Saccharomyces cerevisiae S288C: one gene and its partner. The protein of the gene in region 1 binds, or shares a complex with, the protein of each later gene. Each region holds a gene or a part of one and is shown on either strand. Other genes may lie near its edges. A codon is read from its position in the direction of its gene.

Evidence for each region.
Region 2: the proteins of EFB1 (region 1) and TEF2 are in contact, whole or in part, in a crystal structure (PDB 2B7C), measured with the Saccharomyces cerevisiae proteins. Residues at the interface, in NP_009398.1 of Saccharomyces cerevisiae: Lys120 (codon at 2,526), Ser121 (codon at 2,529), Ile122 (codon at 2,532), Thr124 (codon at 2,538), Lys128 (codon at 2,550), Pro129 (codon at 2,553), Trp130 (codon at 2,556), Asp131 (codon at 2,559), Asp132 (codon at 2,562), Thr152 (codon at 2,622), Trp153 (codon at 2,625), Gly154 (codon at 2,628), Ala155 (codon at 2,631), Gln157 (codon at 2,637), Ile159 (codon at 2,643), Pro160 (codon at 2,646), Ile161 (codon at 2,649), Gly162 (codon at 2,652), Phe163 (codon at 2,655), Ile165 (codon at 2,661), Gln169 (codon at 2,673), Asn171 (codon at 2,679), Val173 (codon at 2,685), Val174 (codon at 2,688), Asp176 (codon at 2,694), Val179 (codon at 2,703), Ser180 (codon at 2,706), Leu181 (codon at 2,709), Asp182 (codon at 2,712), Asp183 (codon at 2,715); in NP_009676.1 of Saccharomyces cerevisiae: Lys20 (codon at 1,915), Ser21 (codon at 1,918), Lys64 (codon at 2,047), Arg67 (codon at 2,056), Glu68 (codon at 2,059), Arg69 (codon at 2,062), Gly70 (codon at 2,065), Ile71 (codon at 2,068), Thr72 (codon at 2,071), Ile73 (codon at 2,074), Asp74 (codon at 2,077), Ile75 (codon at 2,080), Ala76 (codon at 2,083), Leu77 (codon at 2,086), Trp78 (codon at 2,089), Val89 (codon at 2,122), Ile90 (codon at 2,125), Asp91 (codon at 2,128), Ala92 (codon at 2,131), Pro93 (codon at 2,134), Gly94 (codon at 2,137), His95 (codon at 2,140), Asp97 (codon at 2,146), Phe98 (codon at 2,149), Lys100 (codon at 2,155), Asn101 (codon at 2,158), Gln249 (codon at 2,602), Asp250 (codon at 2,605), Val251 (codon at 2,608), Tyr252 (codon at 2,611).

Annotation. Positions count from the first base shown.
Region 1 is NC_001133.9:140,372-146,766, forward strand, and holds EFB1 (translation elongation factor 1 subunit beta), read left to right. Parts: upstream 1-1,802; coding exon 1,803-1,882; intron 1,883-1,995; exon of another isoform or gene 1,996-2,097; intron 2,098-2,248; coding exon 2,249-2,789; downstream 2,790-6,395. Other genes in the region: Hsp70 family ATPase SSA1, read right to left, coding at 1-1,060; CORVET complex membrane-binding subunit VPS8, read left to right, coding at 3,336-6,395. UniProt on the Saccharomyces cerevisiae protein: Catalytic subunit of the guanine nucleotide exchange factor (GEF) (eEF1B subcomplex) of the eukaryotic elongation factor 1 complex (eEF1).
Region 2 is NC_001134.8:475,814-483,729, forward strand, and holds TEF2 (translation elongation factor EF-1 alpha), read left to right. Parts: upstream 1-1,857; coding exon 1,858-3,234; downstream 3,235-7,916. Other genes in the region: transketolase TKL2, read right to left, coding at 1-624; MUD1 (Mud1p), read left to right, coding at 3,525-3,532, 3,622-4,510; CBP6 (Cbp6p), read right to left, coding at 4,622-5,110; GRS1 (glycine--tRNA ligase), read right to left, coding at 5,551-7,554. UniProt on the Saccharomyces cerevisiae protein: GTP-binding component of the eukaryotic elongation factor 1 complex (eEF1). In its active GTP-bound form, binds to and delivers aminoacyl-tRNA to the A-site of ribosomes during protein biosynthesis.

The DNA of each region.
Region 1 (6,395 bases):
TACCGTTGAAGTAGTCAGTGACCAATTTTTGGACCTTTGGAATTCTGGTAGAACCACCGACCAAGACAATTTCATCGACTTGAGATTTGTCCAATTTAGCATCTCTCAAGACCTTTTCAACTGGGTCCAAAGTAGATCTGAACAAGTCAGCACACAATTCTTCGAATCTGGCTCTGGTGATGGAAGTGTAGAAATCGATACCTTCGAACAAAGAGTCAATTTCAACGGAAGTTTGAGCGGAGGAAGACAAAGTTCTCTTGGCTCTTTCACAAGCGGTTCTTAATCTTCTCAAAGCTCTTTGGTTGGTAGACAAGTCCTTCTTGTTCTTTCTCTTGAATTCTTGGATGAAGTGGTTGACCAATCTGTTGTCAAAATCTTCACCACCCAAATGGGTGTCACCAGCGGTGGCCTTAACTTCAAAGATACCGTCTTCAATGGACAACAAAGAGACATCGAAAGTACCACCACCCAAGTCGAAAATCAAGACGTGTTCTTCCTTACCCTTCTTGTCCAAACCGTAAGCAATGGCAGCGGCGGTAGGTTCGTTAATAATACGCAAGACATTCAAACCAGCAATGGTACCAGCATCCTTGGTAGCTTGTCTTTGAGAATCGTTGAAGTAAGCTGGGACAGTGACGACAGCGTCATTGACCTTGGCTCCCAAGTAAGATTCGGCAGTTTCCTTCATCTTACCCAAGACCATGGAGGAGATTTGTTCTGGGGTAAAGTTCTTGGTTTCACCCTTAAATTCAACTTGAATTTGAGGCTTACCGTCAACATCGATCAACTTGAATGGGAAGTGCTTCATGTCAGCCTGCACTTCTGGGTCGTTGAAGTTTCTACCGATCAAACGCTTAGCGTCGAAAACGGTATTCGAAGGATTCATAGCAGCTTGATTCTTAGCAGCATCACCAATCAATCTTTCAGTGTCAGTGAAAGCGACAAAAGATGGAGTGGTTCTGTTACCTTGATCGTTGGCAATAATGTCCACACGATCATTAGCAAAGTGAGCAACACACGAGTATGTTGTACCTAAATCAATACCGACAGCTTTTGACATATTATCTGTTATTTACTTGAATTTTTGTTTCTTGTAATACTTGATTACTTTTCTTTTGATGTGCTTATCTTACAAATAGAGAAAATAAAACAACTTAAGTAAGAATTGGGAAACGAAACTACAACTCAATCCCTTCTCGAAGATACATCAATCCACCCCTTATATAACCTTGAAGTCCTCGAAACGATCAGCTAATCTAAATGGCCCCCCTTCTTTTTGGGTTCTTTCTCTCCCTTTTGCCGCCGATGGAACGTTCTGGAAAAAGAAGAATAATTTAATTACTTTCTCAACTAAAATCTGGAGAAAAAACGCAAATGACAGCTTCTAAACGTTCCGTGTGCTTTCTTTCTAGAATGTTCTGGAAAGTTTACAACAATCCACAAGAACGAAAATGCCGTTGACAATGATGAAACCATCATCCACACACCGCGCACACGTGCTTTATTTCTTTTTCTGAATTTTTTTTTTCCGCCATTTTCAACCAAGGAAATTTTTTTTCTTAGGGCTCAGAACCTGCAGGTGAAGAAGCGCTTTAGAAATCAAAGCACAACGTAACAATTTGTCGACAACCGAGCCTTTGAAGAAAAAATTTTTCACATTGTCGCCTCTAAATAAATAGTTTAAGGTTATCTACCCACTATATTTAGTTGGTTCTTTTTTTTTTCCTTCTACTCTTTATCTTTTTACCTCATGCTTTCTACCTTTCAGCACTGAAGAGTCCAACCGAATATATACACACATAATGGCATCCACCGATTTCTCCAAGATTGAAACTTTGAAACAATTAAACGCTTCTTTGGCTGACAAGTCATACATTGAAGGGTATGTTCCGATTTAGTTTACTTTATAGATCGTTGTTTTTCTTTCTTTTTTTTTTTTCCTATGGTTACATGTAAAGGGAAGTTAACTAATAATGATTACTTTTTTTCGCTTATGTGAATGATGAATTTAATTCTTTGGTCCGTGTTTATGATGGGAAGTAAGACCCCCGATATGAGTGACAAAAGAGATGTGGTTGACTATCACAGTATCTGACGATAGCACAGAGCAGAGTATCATTATTAGTTATCTGTTATTTTTTTTTCCTTTTTTGTTCAAAAAAAGAAAGACAGAGTCTAAAGATTGCATTACAAGAAAAAAGTTCTCATTACTAACAAGCAAAATGTTTTGTTTCTCCTTTTAAAATAGTACTGCTGTTTCTCAAGCTGACGTCACTGTCTTCAAGGCTTTCCAATCTGCTTACCCAGAATTCTCCAGATGGTTCAACCACATCGCTTCCAAGGCCGATGAATTCGACTCTTTCCCAGCTGCCTCTGCTGCCGCTGCCGAAGAAGAAGAAGATGACGATGTCGATTTATTCGGTTCCGACGATGAAGAAGCTGACGCTGAAGCTGAAAAGTTGAAGGCTGAAAGAATTGCCGCATACAACGCTAAGAAGGCTGCTAAGCCAGCTAAGCCAGCTGCTAAGTCCATTGTCACTCTAGATGTCAAGCCATGGGATGATGAAACCAATTTGGAAGAAATGGTTGCTAACGTCAAGGCCATCGAAATGGAAGGTTTGACCTGGGGTGCTCACCAATTTATCCCAATTGGTTTCGGTATCAAGAAGTTGCAAATTAACTGTGTTGTCGAAGATGACAAGGTTTCCTTGGATGACTTGCAACAAAGCATTGAAGAAGACGAAGACCACGTCCAATCTACCGATATTGCTGCTATGCAAAAATTATAAAAGGCTTTTTTATAAACTTTTTATAATTAACATTAAAGCAAAAACAACATTGTAAAGATTAACAAATAAATGAAAAAAACAACGAAATAACTTAGGTTTTAGGCTAAAAAAAACAGAAGGAATTTTGAACGATAAACTTTTCGACTGCACACGAAACATTATTACTAATTTGTGTAACCACTATATAAGGAATCGTGTTTATTAATTGAATTTATTCCGGGAATATTCAAGTTATGTATATCTCTTTTCATATTCTTAAATACACATACTCATAATATCTTGTCGAAAATACGCGGTGTAGGGAGTTATGGTGGATAACTTTTTCACGATTAGAAGAAAAGGAAAATTTCATTATTCGTAGCTTAACATGGCAAAAACGAGAAAGACATATAATCAAAACGTGAGTTTCCTGTGGAAAAAAAAAAAAGGGAACCTCTGGTTACGATGATATACCTGCGTGAAAAAGGACAGTTATTACCAATACATACAAAGGCTTAATAAGTGTAAAATATATATCTGCCGAGACCATTACTCATTACACCTAGAATGGAGCAAAATGGCCTTGACCACGACAGCAGATCTAGCATCGATACGACTATTAATGACACTCAAAAGACTTTCCTAGAATTTAGATCGTATACCCAATTAAGTGAAAAACTGGCATCTAGTTCTTCATATACGGCACCTCCCCTGAACGAAGATGGTCCTAAAGGGGTAGCTTCTGCAGTGTCACAAGGCTCCGAATCCGTAGTCTCATGGACAACTTTAACACACGTATATTCCATCCTGGGTGCTTATGGAGGGCCCACGTGCTTGTATCCGACAGCCACGTATTTTTTGATGGGCACTTCTAAAGGATGCGTACTCATTTTTAATTATAATGAACATTTGCAGACAATCCTAGTGCCGACCTTATCTGAGGACCCTTCTATTCACTCAATAAGAAGTCCAGTGAAATCAATTGTCATATGTTCCGATGGTACTCATGTAGCTGCCTCATACGAGACCGGAAATATATGCATTTGGAACTTGAACGTAGGGTATAGAGTGAAACCCACTTCTGAACCAACAAATGGTATGACCCCAACGCCTGCCTTACCGGCAGTCTTACACATCGATGACCATGTGAACAAGGAAATCACAGGGTTAGACTTTTTTGGTGCTCGGCATACAGCCCTGATTGTTAGTGATAGGACAGGTAAAGTATCACTCTATAACGGTTACAGAAGAGGCTTTTGGCAGTTGGTGTATAATTCAAAAAAAATTTTAGATGTGAACTCTTCCAAGGAGAAATTAATAAGGTCAAAGTTGTCTCCACTAATATCACGGGAGAAAATTTCCACTAATTTGTTGAGTGTACTCACAACTACACATTTTGCCCTTATTTTATTATCGCCACACGTTTCTTTGATGTTTCAAGAAACTGTTGAACCCTCAGTACAAAATTCTCTAGTCGTGAATAGCTCTATTTCATGGACTCAAAACTGTTCCAGGGTTGCTTATTCCGTAAATAATAAAATTTCTGTTATTTCCATATCTTCATCAGACTTCAATGTTCAGTCCGCTAGCCATTCTCCTGAATTTGCAGAATCTATATTATCCATTCAATGGATTGACCAGCTCCTACTTGGTGTTTTAACCATATCGCACCAATTTTTGGTATTGCACCCCCAACATGACTTCAAGATCCTGTTAAGATTGGATTTTCTGATTCACGATTTGATGATCCCACCTAATAAATATTTTGTAATAAGTAGAAGAAGTTTCTACCTGTTAACAAACTACTCATTTAAAATTGGCAAATTTGTGTCTTGGTCAGATATTACTTTAAGACATATTTTGAAAGGCGACTACTTGGGTGCATTGGAGTTCATAGAATCACTTTTGCAACCTTACTGTCCACTGGCAAACTTGTTGAAGCTAGATAATAATACGGAAGAGAGGACTAAGCAACTTATGGAACCATTTTACAATCTGTCCTTGGCTGCCCTAAGGTTTCTTATAAAAAAAGATAATGCCGACTACAATAGGGTTTACCAATTATTAATGGTAGTTGTTCGTGTTTTGCAGCAATCTTCCAAAAAACTAGACTCAATTCCTTCTCTAGACGTCTTTTTGGAACAGGGTCTGGAGTTCTTTGAATTGAAGGACAACGCGGTATATTTTGAAGTTGTAGCAAATATTGTTGCCCAAGGATCAGTTACGTCAATTTCCCCAGTTCTTTTCAGGTCCATAATTGATTACTATGCTAAGGAGGAGAATTTAAAAGTAATTGAAGACTTAATCATCATGTTAAATCCTACTACGCTTGATGTTGATCTTGCCGTCAAACTATGCCAAAAGTATAATTTGTTCGATTTATTAATATATATTTGGAACAAGATCTTTGATGATTATCAAACCCCAGTGGTGGACTTGATATACAGGATTTCTAACCAAAGTGAAAAATGTGTGATCTTCAATGGTCCTCAAGTACCTCCTGAAACGACTATATTTGATTACGTAACGTATATCCTTACTGGCAGGCAATATCCACAAAACTTGTCTATATCACCAAGTGATAAATGCTCCAAAATACAAAGGGAACTTTCAGCATTTATTTTTAGTGGCTTCTCCATAAAATGGCCGTCGAACAGCAATCATAAACTTTACATATGCGAAAATCCAGAAGAAGAGCCAGCATTTCCTTACTTTCACCTTTTATTGAAATCGAATCCGAGTAGGTTCTTAGCAATGCTCAATGAAGTGTTTGAAGCGTCCTTGTTTAACGATGACAATGACATGGTTGCATCAGTTGGAGAAGCAGAATTGGTAAGTAGGCAATATGTTATTGATCTACTATTGGATGCTATGAAAGATACGGGAAATTCAGACAACATCAGGGTACTTGTTGCAATTTTCATTGCAACTAGTATATCAAAATATCCTCAATTTATTAAAGTGTCTAACCAAGCCCTCGACTGCGTTGTTAATACCATATGCTCCTCTAGGGTTCAAGGTATATATGAAATTTCTCAAATAGCTCTGGAGTCGCTTTTACCCTATTATCATTCAAGAACAACAGAAAATTTTATACTGGAACTAAAAGAAAAAAATTTCAATAAAGTTCTTTTCCATATCTATAAAAGTGAAAATAAGTACGCCAGTGCGCTTTCACTTATTTTAGAAACTAAGGACATCGAAAAAGAATATAACACGGACATTGTATCCATAACCGACTACATACTCAAAAAATGCCCACCTGGAAGTTTAGAATGTGGCAAAGTTACTGAAGTTATCGAGACGAACTTTGATCTTCTTCTCTCAAGGATCGGTATCGAAAAATGCGTCACAATTTTTTCTGACTTTGACTATAATCTTCATCAAGAAATCCTGGAAGTAAAGAATGAGGAGACTCAGCAAAAGTATTTGGATAAGCTTTTTTCTACGCCAAATATCAACAATAAGGTCGATAAGCGTTTAAGAAATTTACACATCGAATTGAACTGTAAATACAAGAGCAAAAGGGAAATGATTCTTTGGCTTAATGGTACAGTTCTCAGCAACGCTGAGAGCTTACAAATTCTGGACTTATTGAATCAAGACTCTAATTTTGAAGCTGCAGCT
Region 2 (7,916 bases), on another chromosome or scaffold:
CTCGTATCGCTTCAAAACATCTTCGTCGAACGAGTACGAGGTTTTACCGTCAATGGAAATGCTATTACTGTCATAAAACGTAATCAAGTTACCCAATTGCAGATGTCCCGCTAAGGAAGAGGTCTCCGAAGAAACACCCTCTTGTAAGCAACCATCCCCTACAATAGCAAACGTATATGAGTCGGAAATGGGAAAGCCATCCTCGTTATAAGTGGCGGCAAAGTTGGCCTGCGCTATTGCCATACCAACAGCATTTGAGATACCCTGGCCTAGCGGACCGGAAGTGATTTCCACTCCCGCTGAGTGGAATTCTGGATGACCCGGTGTCCTTGAGTTTACTTGTCTAAATTGTCTCAAGTCCTCGATAGAGTAATCGTATCCTAATAGATGGAGCATTGAGTACAGAAGAGCGCATGAGTGACCGTTCGACAGAACAAACCTGTCTCTATTGATCCAATGTTCATTGTTAGGGTTACAGCGCAGTTGCTTGAAAATTACATGGGCAACTGGTGCCAATCCTAGTGGTGCACCTGGGTGGCCAGATTGTGCGCTTTCCACCTGGTCAACGGAAAGTAATCTTAAAGTGGAAACCGCAAGTTTATCAATGTCGGAGAACTGTGCCATTTTTTTGTTCTTTTTTTGATTAGTAAGGTATAATCGTCTACGTAGAGGTTACAAATCGAAGACTACAGTAAGAGGGGACAAGCCAATTGAATATACGACTGAAATAAATGGAATAATTCTGCATTATTACACTCGTTTATATATCCAAACAGGTGATCTGGTATTCTCTTGACAACGAATGAAGCTCCCTATATTCGACACTCCTTATTCAGGACTCCTCCCAACAAGGAGAAGTAGGTGTTCCTTGAGCTACCCTTTAAAGCTGGGGAGATGAGCTTGCCCTTCCTGTCATCGCCATTATGACGAGAAAAGTAAAACATGTAGAATAAGGTCCACCCAAACATGTCCGAGCAATGACGTTATATATCGTGTTCCCTGTTCAAAGCATGGCATATGTGCCATTAAAGGCGAATTTTTGTCCCTAGCAAAGGAGAGACAGCGAGCCACCATTAAGAAGTGACTTGAAAGCAAGCGAAAATAGCTACACATATATATCAATATATTGACCTATAAACCCAAAATGTGAAAGAAATTTGATAGGTCAAGATCAATGTAAACAATTACTTTGTTATGTAGAGTTTTTTTAGCTACCTATATTCCACCATAACATCAATCATGCGGTTGCTGGTGTATTTACCAATAATGTTTAATGTATATATATATATATATATATGGGGCCGTATACTTACATATAGTAGATGTCAAGCGTAGGCGCTTCCCCTGCCGGCTGTGAGGGCGCCATAACCAAGGTATCTATAGACCGCCAATCAGCAAACTACCTCCGTACATTCATGTTGCACCCACACATTTATACACCCAGACCGCGACAAATTACCCATAAGGTTGTTTGTGACGGCGTCGTACAAGAGAACGTGGGAACTTTTTAGGCTCACCAAAAAAGAAAGAAAAAATACGAGTTGCTGACAGAAGCCTCAAGAAAAAAAAAATTCTTCTTCGACTATGCTGGAGGCAGAGATGATCGAGCCGGTAGTTAACTATATATAGCTAAATTGGTTCCATCACCTTCTTTTCTGGTGTCGCTCCTTCTAGTGCTATTTCTGGCTTTTCCTATTTTTTTTTTTCCATTTTTCTTTCTCTCTTTCTAATATATAAATTCTCTTGCATTTTCTATTTTTCTCTCTATCTATTCTACTTGTTTATTCCCTTCAAGGTTTTTTTTTAAGGAGTACTTGTTTTTAGAATATACGGTCAACGAACTATAATTAACTAAACATGGGTAAAGAGAAGTCTCACATTAACGTTGTCGTTATCGGTCATGTCGATTCTGGTAAGTCTACCACTACCGGTCATTTGATTTACAAGTGTGGTGGTATTGACAAGAGAACCATCGAAAAGTTCGAAAAGGAAGCCGCTGAATTAGGTAAGGGTTCTTTCAAGTACGCTTGGGTTTTGGACAAGTTAAAGGCTGAAAGAGAAAGAGGTATCACTATCGATATTGCTTTGTGGAAGTTCGAAACTCCAAAGTACCAAGTTACCGTTATTGATGCTCCAGGTCACAGAGATTTCATCAAGAACATGATTACTGGTACTTCTCAAGCTGACTGTGCTATCTTGATTATTGCTGGTGGTGTCGGTGAATTCGAAGCCGGTATCTCTAAGGATGGTCAAACCAGAGAACACGCTTTGTTGGCTTTCACCTTGGGTGTTAGACAATTGATTGTTGCTGTCAACAAGATGGACTCCGTCAAATGGGACGAATCCAGATTCCAAGAAATTGTCAAGGAAACCTCCAACTTTATCAAGAAGGTTGGTTACAACCCAAAGACTGTTCCATTCGTCCCAATCTCTGGTTGGAACGGTGACAACATGATTGAAGCTACCACCAACGCTCCATGGTACAAGGGTTGGGAAAAGGAAACCAAGGCCGGTGTCGTCAAGGGTAAGACTTTGTTGGAAGCCATTGACGCCATTGAACAACCATCTAGACCAACTGACAAGCCATTGAGATTGCCATTGCAAGATGTTTACAAGATCGGTGGTATTGGTACTGTGCCAGTCGGTAGAGTTGAAACCGGTGTCATCAAGCCAGGTATGGTTGTTACTTTCGCCCCAGCTGGTGTTACCACTGAAGTCAAGTCCGTTGAAATGCATCACGAACAATTGGAACAAGGTGTTCCAGGTGACAACGTTGGTTTCAACGTCAAGAACGTTTCCGTTAAGGAAATCAGAAGAGGTAACGTCTGTGGTGACGCTAAGAACGATCCACCAAAGGGTTGCGCTTCTTTCAACGCTACCGTCATTGTTTTGAACCATCCAGGTCAAATCTCTGCTGGTTACTCTCCAGTTTTGGATTGTCACACTGCTCACATTGCTTGTAGATTCGACGAATTGTTGGAAAAGAACGACAGAAGATCTGGTAAGAAGTTGGAAGACCATCCAAAGTTCTTGAAGTCCGGTGACGCTGCTTTGGTCAAGTTCGTTCCATCTAAGCCAATGTGTGTTGAAGCTTTCAGTGAATACCCACCATTAGGTAGATTCGCTGTCAGAGACATGAGACAAACTGTCGCTGTCGGTGTTATCAAGTCTGTTGACAAGACTGAAAAGGCCGCTAAGGTTACCAAGGCTGCTCAAAAGGCTGCTAAGAAATAAGAGTAATAATTATTGCTTCCATATAATATTTTTATATACCTCTTATTTTTATGTATTAGTTAATTAAGTATTTTTATCTATCTGCTTATCATTTTCTTTTCATATAGGGGGGGTTGGTGTTTTCTTGCCCATCAGATTGATGTCCTCCAACTCGGCACTATTTTACAAAGGGTTTTTTTGTAAGAGAAGGAGAAGACAGATACTAAACCATACGTTACTCGAAACAAAAAAAAAAAAAATGGAAAAAGCTGCTATCAACAAAAGACGGCCTCATCAAACCTAAAGAAACCATGTCAGCGTATGTATATACCTTGTAATTTACGTTTCCTTAAATCTTCTTTCTACTAACGTTTTCATTATTCTATACTCTATGACCAATAAAAACAGACTGTACTTTCAAAATTTACCCAGTAGGCCAGCAAATAAAGAAAATTATACCAGATTACTTCTGAAACACATTAATCCCAACAACAAGTATGCCATTAATCCGTCGCTACCCCTTCCCCACAATAAATTACAAATATCATCACAACCGCTGATGTTACTAGATGATCAAATGGGCCTTCTTGAAGTTTCTATTTCAAGATCATCAAAGATGACTAACCAAGCATTTTTAACGTTTGTCACTCAAGAAGAAGCAGACCGGTTTCTAGAAAAATACACGACAACAGCATTAAAAGTTCAAGGTCGTAAAGTGAGAATGGGAAAGGCTCGAACAAATTCGTTATTGGGTCTTTCAATAGAAATGCAAAAAAAAAAAGGTAATGACGAAACGTACAACCTTGATATAAAGAAGGTGCTTAAAGCAAGGAAACTTAAACGCAAGTTACGTAGTGATGATATATGCGCCAAAAAGTTCAGGCTTAAAAGGCAAATAAGACGCCTGAAGCATAAGCTGAGATCAAGAAAGGTAGAGGAGGCTGAGATTGATAGGATTGTAAAAGAATTTGAAACCCGTAGATTGGAAAACATGAAGTCTCAGCAAGAAAATCTAAAACAATCGCAGAAACCTCTTAAGCGGGCTAAAGTGTCCAATACAATGGAAAATCCACCGAACAAAGTCCTTCTTATACAAAATTTGCCAAGCGGCACTACCGAGCAATTATTGTCGCAAATACTTGGCAATGAGGCTTTAGTTGAAATCAGATTAGTTAGCGTTCGTAACCTAGCTTTCGTGGAATACGAGACCGTTGCTGATGCTACGAAAATCAAGAATCAGTTAGGCTCCACTTACAAGCTACAAAACAATGACGTTACCATAGGATTTGCTAAGTAGAATTTCCTTTGCGGAAGTATACCTCGAGTAAAGAAATTCACAGATAAATTTGAATAACGTTCTCCATTATGAATAAATATGTATTTACAAGCTTAGAAAATAATGTGCTCTTTATTTACCAAATAATACAGTTCTCATTGCAGTAAATAAGCTTTCCTTTTTCTTACCGTCAACGGCATTTATTAACCGTTGATAATATTGGGGATTTCCTGCAGGTTTATAGAGCTTATCGCCAATATCGTAATAGTTTCTGAATTTATTATTCATTATAGTGCTCAAGGCACGAATTTGCTCGTTGATGCTTTCTTCCGTGAATTTCTCATCTACCATTTTATTTTGAATTTTGGTTAACATCTCCTTATTCAGTCCTAATGGACCGGAAGTTCTGTTAATTATACTTTTTATTTCATCTAATGAGGGTTTTTTCTCTTTTATAGATTTTCCTTTGTCATCTACATTTGGCAGACCCGCTACACGTCTAAATCTTGCTATTTGTACATCCCTGAATGAGACCAAGTGGTGTATACGATCCTTTGGATATTTTTCCAGTAAATTAACTAATTTTTTGGCAGAATCCCTGACGACCTGGGAAGAAGACATTTTGGCACTTGCTTGTGGAATACGGAGTTTAACTTGGTAAGCTGATAGAGAGAATGTTTCAATGAAGGCTACCTTTTTTTCTTATAATGTTGCTACCACAGGAAATCTTGATATACGTTAATGTTTTGGCCCCTACAAGGCCGGAAATATTTCGCTTTTTCTTGATATCAGAATTTTTCGCATGTCCGACCATGCGCAGAGCTGCTATGAAAGTACTTTAACTATTAGTGTGAGGAATGGCTAAATAAACAGCAGATGTGATTTCCGCACTTCTTTTATAAACTTCCAAAATAATCGTATTAGTGGACAGTACATAATCATATCTTGCAATACGTATCAATAGTAAACGAATTATTTATTCATACACACATGTATATACTTCTCGCTTCTTTTTTTAATTTACATGTTTGGCGATATATAGTTAAAATTAAGTCATTTATTTAGTCAGTTTCAGCTTCAGCTTCAGCTTGGGCAATAAAAGGAGTCAAATCCTTGGTACCTTCTTCCCAAGAAGCACCATTGTAAGTGATATCGCGGATAGCCTTGATGACATTTTCGACGGAACCTCTAACTTGCTTGGTGGAATCTCTTTCTCTCAAAGTGACAGAATGGTCTTTGGCAGATTCAAAGTCAATGGTGACACCGAATGGAGTACCTAATTCGTCATTACGGGCATATCTTTTACCAATGGAAACTCCAGAATCATCAATCTTAAATGGGATTTGAGACTTTCTTAAGATTTTGGCGACTTCAGTAGTAACAGGAACTAAATCTTTGTGGTTAGATAAAGGAACTAAAAGAACCTTTGTTGGAGCAACCAAAGGTGGGAAGGAAAGAACACTTCTGGCATTGTCTTCTGGTCTGTTCCAGAAAGAGTGCTCAAAAACGGAGTAGATGATACGGCCAATACCGAAAGATGGTTCAATGACACTAGGAACATATTCTCTAACGTGTTCAACCTTTGTTCTTTGTTCGATTTTAACCAATTTATCGTCCAACTCGACTTCGCCATCAACACCATCAACCTTTATAGTAAACTTGCCATTTGCCTTCAATAACTCAGCCTTGGAAGCCAAGTCATCTTGAGACATATTCAATAGATGAGATTCAACTTTTGGTGCATCTTTTCTGAATTTTGGACCGAACAATTTTTTCGTCAAATCAATTTCCCACTTGGTGACTTCAATTGGATTATCTAATTTTTGTCTAACAACCAATTTTTCTTTGGTCTTTTTGGAATGAACGGTCAAATCATAGGCAGATCTATCAGCACATCCGACACATTCAATCCACCCGTAAGATGTCTTCAATTCACCATCCCAACAGTCAGCAGCATAATGTGCCATTTCATTAGCCATATGTTGACGGAATCTCAATTTGGACTCATCAACACCAATTTTCATCAAAAATTGGTAAATTCTGGCAATAAAGTAACCCAAAGTTTCATTATCGACCATTCTTGAAGCAACTGCTTCACCAACTGTCTTGACAATTGGTTCAGTAGAACCAGCTTCTTGAACATCACGAGGCAAAAAGGAAAGCTTGATGTCTTTGATTTCATTAAATTTTGGATGAGATTTGTCCAATGGGTCAACGAAATGTTCAATCTCTGCCATCAAAAATTCACGGACTCTTAATAAACCGGCCCTTGGGGAAATCTCATTTCTAAATGATTTACCGATAGAGGCTGAGGCAAAAGGGGTCTTACTGTTGTTAAATTCTAACAACTTGTTAAAATTCAAGAATTGACCTTGGGCAGTTTCTGGCCTCAAGTAACCCTTTAATTGACCAGATGGGCCAATAGCCGTTTCAAACATCAGGTTAAAAGCCCTTGGAGATTCTAAAGTTTCTCCGGTGACTGGGTTACCGATATCGTATTTTTCCATCAATTCACCTAATTCTGGGCCGGAATAACCATCTATTTTAGCCAAAATTTCTTCATATTCTTTGACAACGTCGTCATCCAATTTGACTGCTTTAATTTGTTTAACTTTTTTCTTTCTCTTCTTCTTTTCGGCATCGTCCTTAGCAGCGGCATTAGCATCCTCGACTAAACCTCTGGCTTCTTGGTCACCCTTTAAGCGAGCTTCCAAAACTTCTTCGACTAAATGGTCAGCTCTGAAAATCTCACCAGTCTTCAAATCTCTACACATCCAATCAGAAAATTTGTCAACATGACCTGAGGTCTTCAAAACCTCATATGGAGTTAACATAGTACAATCAACTTCCAACATATCTTCTTCCAAAATAAAATGCTTTCTCCAGGCGTCAATGATGTTGTTTTGGAATGCACAACCTGGTGGACCATAGTCATATAAACCAGAAACCCCACCGTACAAGTCAAAAGCTGGGGCATAAAAAAATCTTCCTCTCAAAACACTTTCTAGCTGTTCTCTGTTAAATGGAACAGCGGCTCTAGCCTTCTTGATATCTTCTACACTCATTCTTTTAATCTTAACCGATTTTTTAACAATCTGAGAGTAAAATCGTCTACTGATATTGAAGAACGACAATTTTTCTTGAAAATCAACACGAATGCAAAAAGGGAAACTAAAATAAAAGAAATCCTCAAAAGTAATTGAACAGATTTCGAGTCCTAATTGCAAGTAAAATTATGTATACAAAGTACGTGATAAGTATCGCAGCAGTGATTCAACACTCGAGAAGAGTAAAAATTTTCAATTTTTTTCCACTGCGCTGAAATATTACGAGGCGTAGAAAATGATCACTACAATGCCGTTGCTGCTTATTGCAGCGTAAGTGAGCTTCATTCACAGACCATTTGCCTCGATAATCCATGAATCAT